2 linked regions of the Zea mays genome follow. The protein of the gene in region 1 binds, or shares a complex with, the protein of each later gene. Links are inferred from orthologs where the notes say so. Each region holds a gene or a part of one and is shown on either strand. Other genes may lie near its edges. The genes, in order: Sister chromatid cohesion 1 protein 3-like and absence of first division 1.

What was found.
Region 2: Sister chromatid cohesion 1 protein 3-like (region 1) and absence of first division 1 share a complex: the UniProt entries of both Arabidopsis thaliana proteins name them as parts of the cohesin complex. The link is inferred for Zea mays from reciprocal best matches to the Arabidopsis thaliana genes SYN3 and SYN1.

The regions. Positions count from the first base shown.
Region 1 is NC_050105.1:43,665,465-43,669,597, reverse strand, and holds the start of Sister chromatid cohesion 1 protein 3-like, read right to left. Parts: upstream 2,801-4,133; 5' UTR 2,708-2,800; coding exon of another isoform or gene 2,584-2,707; 5' UTR 2,382-2,583; intron 1,635-2,381; coding exon of another isoform or gene 1,627-1,634; coding exon 1,373-1,626; intron 1,289-1,372; coding exon 1,242-1,288; intron 1,129-1,241; coding exon 1,097-1,128; intron 1,023-1,096; coding exon 955-1,022; intron 885-954; coding exon 505-884; intron 415-504; coding exon 270-414; intron 1-269. UniProt on the Arabidopsis thaliana protein: May be involved in sister chromatid cohesion during mitosis.
Region 2 is NC_050101.1:178,058,804-178,063,011, reverse strand, and holds the start of absence of first division 1, read right to left. Parts: upstream 2,801-4,208; 5' UTR 2,618-2,800; coding exon 2,565-2,617; intron 2,382-2,564; coding exon 2,313-2,381; intron 2,206-2,312; coding exon 2,147-2,205; intron 2,040-2,146; coding exon 1,995-2,039; intron 1,890-1,994; coding exon 1,870-1,889; intron 1,764-1,869; coding exon 1,687-1,763; intron 1-1,686. UniProt on the Arabidopsis thaliana protein: Involved in chromosome condensation, pairing and segregation during meiosis. Responsible for cohesion between replicated sister chromatids.

The sequences.
Region 1 (4,133 bases):
TCCGAAAACTGTGACTATGGATCTAACAGACAAGAGAAATTTTCTAACTCCAAACTAAAAATCACTCCCATGGGGAGTCGAAATCAAGACCTAAGAAGTGCTACTCAGACCAGCTAACCAACTCAACTAGAGGCCCTTTCACACAAACAATTGAAACTGCAAGAAGCAATTGTTTTCTGTTAAAATAGAAATCACATTAATCATTGTTCCAAATTATTCCACATTGAAAGAATCTTGCATGCCAAAGTTGAGGCTCAATTAAAACTTACTCATTGGAGAGCACAATTTTGTAATCAAATTTCATCCCTCTCTTCCTATTTCTATTGCTAACTTGTGCTTTTGGTCTTCTATTATCCTTGTTCTCTTGTACTGGACGTGGAGATGGCTCAAGCCGAAATTCAGGTAACTGAATGTCTAAAACCAGAGAAGTAAAAAGAAATGTGTCAAGAGTTGGACAAACAAACAAATACTTCAGGTACGTAATGTTTCAAGACAAATACTAACCAAAATTTAGGGGTGCATCATCTGCAAAAGCATCAAAGGTGTTTGGTGCACGTAAATTGGAAATGGATCTCCCAGGTACTTGTCGACCAGCAGAAGTTGTTTCATCAATAACTGGAGGGGTGATAGCCTTGTTTTGCACAAAAGGTGAAGAATCATGGTCCAAATCCATGGGGTCATCATTTCCAAGGATGGACTCTGTTAATTTCAGGTGAGGAAACTCATGTGGAGCTTCACGCATTTTTTCAGGTGGATCTAGTGCTCCATCTGTCAGATTTGCTATGTTGGAATTCACTGGTGAATTGCCTATGGGACGATCTATGGGAGCTTCTTCATTAGGATCGTTATTAGCTCCAAAACCATCATGAAATGGAGGGGACGTCCTGAACATGATTGAAAAGGAGACATGAATCCACAAGTAGGAAAGAGAGGAAACATATTAAAGAGACATACTCATCCTCGATTGCTGTAGGTCCCATGTGTAATGATGGAGCAGGACCTGATTGCTCTACTCTGGCATCCTGCACAGTGAAGTAAAATATTAATGAACAAGAAAAAAAAGAAGAGAAAAAACACAGTAGGATAGTATGAATACCTCATCAAGTTCTATCATCACATATTCTCCTTCTGATGGTTGAACATTGTTTATCGATCAAAATAAAAACTAAGTTAGGGGTTCGACTCAGGTGGTTGCTTCAAAAAAGAATAAACAAGTATTCACTATCGTGAACTTTCTTTACCAGGCAAGGTAATCTGATCAAGAGTCTTCTGATGATTATCTGGCGTACTGCACAAAGTTTAAGAAGAAAATTACATAGGTAGCATTTGCATTGCATGATATAAAACAATGATGAAGAACATCATTACTTACTCCATCAGAGAAATTGCGTCATCCAAGTTCAAGGCGTCAAGATTTAGTGTTGATGGTAGTGTAATGGACTCAAATGGAGCACAGTCTGCATCAATTGGAAGATCGACTTGGACAGAAGCGAATGAAGTTCTCATTGTAGTTAGCATTCGATTACAATCTTGAAACAGATATTGCACCTTCCATGAATAAATGCGAACTAGACCTAGAAGAAGATGCCCTGATAATCTTAGAGCAATTGGAACTTCAGGGAACATTATACTTTCTGGAAAGGCAAAAGATATTCATTAGAAGACTAGGGAAGGATTTACAGAATAAATCACAGCGAAAAGACATCAGAAATCCTAAATGTAGTATAGAATCAAGAGGGTACATATAGATACAAAACATACTAAGAAACATCTTTTCTAAGGAAATTAGAACTGGAGATGGTCATTATAGAATAAATCCAAAACAATAGAGTGAAATGAGAGGTGCTAACTTGCAGCAACCACAACAGACAAATCACTCAATCACATCCACTCTTCCAAACGCCCAACCTAGGGCTCACCAAATCACAAAGATTTTGCCAATTGTCCTTAGTCGTCAGTCCAACTAAATGAAAATAAGGATGATCTACCTCTTACAAACAAACACGGCCGACTTCAAACACTGCATAACTTCACGTGTTCTGTTCCAGGACTAATAAATGAGGCAAAAGACACAATAGTTTGCCAAATAATCTCACAAGTACATTCCTGGCTCAACGCTGAGGCCATATATTTGGCCATAAATAAGCCATATCTTCTGCGCAAACAGCCTATGCGCTAAAGTACTTTTTCCTTTTGCGTTTCTGCATAAACTGTGACAATAACCGTTCCTTACGGGAAATTCATAATCACTACGGAAATACCGGCAGCGAACCCTAATTGGGAATATCATATACGCAGTTCTGAACTAAAACCCAAAGAAGCCCCCTTCTCCGTTTAACTTGCAGAATGCCGGTTGGGGACCAAATTATCGCGCAACTGACCTTCTGTCGCATGATTCCATCACATTTGCACCGAATGCGCCACAGGGAACACCGCACCTTTAACCCTCCACCAGATGCTTCCAAAAATCCCTCGCCAAAAAAAAAAGAATGGGAGGAGAAAAAGATCCAGTTTTTTCTACCGGCGGACGACAGAGAGAAGAAAAAACGCGCCTTTGGGCAAGCGAGGGCGGAGCCGACGGACCTGCGTAGGTGGGGATGTCGATGCCATCGATCTGCGGCTTCTTGATCTTGCGCTCGAGGTGGGCGGCGATCCACACGGTGCCCAGCGGGCTCTTCCGCGCGAGGATCGTGTGCGAGTAAAACATCCTCGGCGGTCCCCTCCGGCTCACCGGATAGGCGCTGGGGTTCAGATAGCGGCGGTGGTAGCGCAGGGGAAGGCGAGGCGGCGACGGGAGGATACGAGGTGCTGGGTTTGCGAACTTGTTTTTGTTGGGGAAATGCTTTTTGGGGAAGCCGGGAAGGGCAGTTTCCAAATTCCAAAGGGTGAGGAGGCGGGAAGGGAGCTTTTGGCGCGCGGTTTTCGGAAGTAGTGACGCAATGGGTGTGCAAACAACATTTGCAGGCTATGGATTATCCTAAGACTATGTCTAACAATTTACGTATCTGGTCATCTAAAACATTATTTTACACTGTAAATTATAATATTAATAGAGTGAAGTTTGAATATGTATATGAGGACAGGTAAGCTGCTAAAGATAGTCTAATCATTCTTGTCTCTTCTCATTAGGGGTGATAATGAATTCTAAATTTTATACTATAAAATTTAAGTGTCACATCAGACTAAAACCAGGTTATATTACCATTCATTTTTTAACTAAACTTTATTAAGGGTCATATCATATTATGAATACATTACCACGTCTACTTCTCTCTCTATTCTTATTATTTATTCATTAGGTATGTGTCCATACGTTGCCACGAGGCGTAGGAGCGTGGGGAGCGACGTCTAAACTACAAATATATTTTTTGTTTTGTAAACACTAAGGTATGTATGGTATAGTGGTTAGTCACAAATTTCTAGAGTAGAGGGGTATGTGTTCAAGTGCTTGTTCTGCACTATTTTTTGCGAGCGCTGGGCTTGAGGAGGGTGAAGTCGTGGTAGCACCAGTGCCCACGTTAGGTTCTTAATAGATAGTAGATATTTTTCAATACTTTCTATTCTTTCATTCATCCCCTATTTTTTCTCTTCTCCAACCATTTCCCTTATTCACCTCCTCTTTACACTTTAACTCAAGTATTTGACTTTTATACATCATTTCTGGAGTTCAAAAAACTTTGTAATAACATAATATACACATTGTTATATGGGGTTCAAGTGCTCGTTCTGCACTATTTTTTGCGGGCGCTGGGCTTGAGGAGGGTGAAGTCGTGGTAAGAGATTTTTCAATACTTTCTCTTATTTCATTCATCCCCTATTTTTTTCTCTTCTCCAACCATTTCCCTTATTCACGTCCTCTTTACACTTTAACTGAAGTATTTGACTTTTATACATCATTTCTGGAGTTCAAAAAACTATACAATATTTGTAATAACATAATACACATTGTTATATGGTAATTAAAATTGAAAATAATTAATTTATCCATTAAGAGCATTCATTAATGAAAAGGGGAGCTTTGAAATCCTCATGTACATAGTGAGCAAACATTCTCACCCTCGCGATGGGGTGAAAGAGAGGACGTAGTTGGAGAGCACCTTACACTAGTACACCAAATAAAGGGAGGGCGATAT
Region 2 (4,208 bases), on another chromosome or scaffold:
GCTGGAAGAAGAATGACTCGCATTTGTTGGTGAAGAGTAGCGGATCCGTCTTCTCGTCATATTGTGGGAAATCCAGATGATGGAATCTGGTTGGGCGGTCTTCATGGTTGGCATTGGGCCCGCCTCGTGGACGTTGGTTCCCGTGAGGGATGATCTCCTGCTGGCGCTAATCAAGGCGATCAATGGCAGCCTAGCTTTCCTGTTGCTGCCGTTCTAGGCGCTGTATAGTGGTGTGCAGGGTGTCCAGGGTTGCCAGCCTTTGGTTGATGGCGTCCAAGGCCTGAGCCACTGGATCGCTTGGGATGGAGGACATGGTGGTGGGTAGGTGCGTGGCTGGTCTCCTGAAACCAAGATGTTATGTGGCCGACGGTATGGGGGAAGTGGCAAGGGCGCAGGCGCCGGCCCCTGACTTCGCATGTGGCGTGGACGATCGGTTGGGTGCTGATCTATGTTGGGCAGCAAGGAGGGAGACCGGATTAGGAGGGAAGAAAGACAGTTTGGAGATAATTCATTCCTCCTTTATTTCATAACTTTCCATTACATATATAGGCCAGTTGCATGGCCGCAACCTCCTATCTGCTTGACTCTATCTCCTTAAACTTCTCCTAAAAAATCTCAACAACTTCTAATCTGCTATTACCCCTAGATATTCTTGACTAATATCTCTAGATAAACTCAACTAGGTCTCTTATCCTTAGGCCTGCGCCTGTAAGTGGCGCCCCACATAACATATCACCGGTTCATATCCACTCCATGCTATTTACACAAGGGGAGAGACTTAGGTGTTTGGCTATGAAAGAGCTAGTAGTAATGAGGTCAAATTTATCTATAGAAGTTTAACCCGAAATGTGCTATATCAAGAAAAGATTACATTTCTCAAGTAAATTTCCAAGGGTTATACTACAGCCATAGGAATGGTAATGCCAAAAGAATTAATCAAGGCCGTGGATGTTCATTTCCAGTTCTCAAAGGTAATGAAAACCCTTTTAAGATAGCATTATTTCTCAAGTACAGTATTGTATAGCTAGCAAATGGACACGCTAAAGAATATGCCAAAAGATACTCCAACGACACGAAGATGCTCACATATTGGAAGGAGAAAGTAACTGTTGCACCAAAATATGCTAAATGCAAATCCATCCACCTCCTATTCTGATATCTCAAAAGTCAAAATTATAAATATAAATAAAAAAATAAAACAGCAAGTGATTAGGCCAGTTGACAGAAGATCATTGGGACTCATACATCAGATATCAGAGTATCAGACAGTGGATGTGAGTGCTTCAGCAAGCACAAGGGCCCAGTGAGTAAGGCACAACAAACTACCACGGGAATCGCCAACATGTAGCTGTGAATCCCATTTTCGTTTCCCACGGCACACAAATTGCACCAGATACCAATTCAGTTCAAGCAAACTAACACATATCTATCTCCTAAGAACTTCCATGAACATCTCAGCCAGATCACAACATTCGCCAATCCAAACAACCAGATGAACACATCACAGCCTAAACGCACACACAACAATCTCTGTTTTAAGAAAGCTAAGAAGCAAACACCAAGTCTCATCAATAACAACATCAACAGCATGAATGCAGTGCAACCTTACTCAAACCGAACCCCCTCAACCCCAGCATGTAACATCTATAAACGCTTAGAAAGGGAGGAGACCGGTAGCACACTTACTTGGCTTGAGTTTTACCCTTGGGGAGGACGGTGGGGTCTGTGACCGGTTTGATCCGCCATGCCTCGTTGATCTCAGTCTGCACGAGAAGTTAGTGGTATAACTCGAACTGAATTCGCAAGGATATTCAAATCGACTGACCAGGACACAGAAAACACTCGGGCAGATCCTGAACTAGTTCTTACCAGAAGCCGAGAGACATCAGCTGCGAGAAAGAGAACACATGATCGATTTTAGAATTGGGATGATGAAACACTGGGAATTCAAACAAAATCAACATCAAGTAGGATGTAGGGAGGAAGAAACTTACTGTAGAGAAGCTTCACCTTCCTCTCGTACACGATCACCACGCCACCTGCTCACGCATTTCGAATTTTCGACCATGGAAATTGGAACGTAAAAAAAAACTATCCAAAAAATGGGAGGAACAGTTTTGGGTGGCGCAAGCAAAATCGAACTCACCCATGAGGATTCCAGAGAGCCTCAGAGCCATGGGCACCGAGGGGTTCAAAATTTCCTCACTAAAAGTGAAACACACAAACAAAAGTCAGCAAAAACAAATAAAAAAAACACAAAAATAGCAGTCAAAACCGTGCGGAACTCGAATCCCTGGGACCAGTTTCCCCACCAGATTTTGATGATGTCGAGCTTGTCGAGCCGTTTGCGGTTGATCTTCGAGTGGAGCGTCGCCGCCATCCTGAAACCACAATGCAAACGCAGTTAGTGACCGCCAAATCGGCGCGAGCGTGGCCATCACTGTGGGTCGATGCCAGGATAAGGCATAGAACCAAACGCATTGCAAGGAACAAGGAAGGGAAACGAGCGCGATTAGAGCCCGCAACGAGAGGCATAGGAGGTGCGATCAAGGGAGCAGACGCGCCATATCTGGCCGAGCGGCGCCTTCCGCGCGAGAAGCTGATGCGAGTAGAACATTCTCGACCGAACGGGCAGAGGAGGAGGAGGAAGAGGGCTCGGAGCGGAGCGGCGCGCCGCCGCGGAGGCAGCGAGAAGCGAAGTGTGTGTTGGTATGGGGGTTTTGGCCTCGGCTAGGAGAGGCTGGACCGCTGGACCGCTGGAGAGCTGGGTTGTCTACTTGTCTCTTGTCTCGTAATCTCGTTCTCGTGGAGAAAAAGAAAGAAACGGGGGCGGATCGGTTAAATCGTGCGCGTGGGGAGGGCAATATCGGAAACCTATCGGGGGTCGTTCCGCGCCATTCGCCCATTCCCACGTCCTCATGTAGCCACAGTGCCACACAAATGATGTGAAGCAATCTGGGTATCTTTGGTTCAGGTCATTTAGGGTTTGGTATTATATAATCTAAATTCTATGTAAATAAGCTAGTGATAGACAAACTAAGTATGAAGCAACTTATGTGATAAAATTATATAATCTAGTACTTGAGATTATGATAACCCTATAAGCTTCTCAAAAGATGCTTATATCAGCTTATTTTTAATAAAAGACCCACTATTAATCGTAAGTTGATGAAAATTACCCGGTACTGCCATCCATCTACCCATGATCGTTCTCACCTAGCCCAACTTAGACTTGACCTCTCCTTCTCCTCCCTAATGATCTCCTCCGAACCCTAGCCGCTAGTGTTTCATATGGTTGATTCTAGACCGCCATGGATCCCAACAATGTTGAGGATAACCTTTCCAAAGCTTTGGAGCACCAAAATTTGTTGCCACGATGCGAGCTCGTCTTCGATTGTAACATGTATCATGTTAGCACGCTGAGAAAGGAGACACTGATAGCCCCGACGTATGCGGTGGCTTGGGGCATGGCGTTGGACAAGGCGGTTGTGTATCCCAGAGGTGCAGAACTACGATGTTGAACACGGATAGACCGGCTTAGTGCGTGGTCTTAGGCGTGGATCAACCAATGTTCGGCGCAGAACTACCAGTAGCCTGTCGCGAGGCACGTCACGCGACATGGCCAGCGACATTGGACACAGCGCAACCTCCCTAGAGTTTAGCACTAGCAGAACAACACCTATAGATACATTGAACTCCATAGTTCATTGTATTGCATCTATAGTTATGGTCACTGCAAGGATGTAAATGTTACATAATTTGTTGGAATAATAGAAATAAATCAAAACAAATAACTACATTATGAAGTATGTCTTAAAAGAACCATCTAGGTTAAGTGTGCTTGGTCTAGAGCAATCTTAGGATGTGTGCCCGACCGACAAATCCTCCCTAGTTCGTATGAGTGAGGATAAAGTGCGCACAAAAGACTCGTGTTGGTTTGTAAGGATGGTTTATGGTTCTAGAGGGTTGTCAGGAGTAAGTATCACTGGTCCGACAGTGGATGAGATGTTACAAATGGTATCAGAGACGACCCTCGTGGTTTCACGGACGTGTGTAGGCTAGGGTTTTGGGTATATGTTGCACGACGTATGTAGGCTCAGAGTGGTCAAATGGCATGGAATATGACGACACTAGACATACAGTCACGGGTAAGAGGGAGGTTTTTGGCTTGGGGTTGACCGATGAGGACGTCGGTCTTCTAAGAGGGA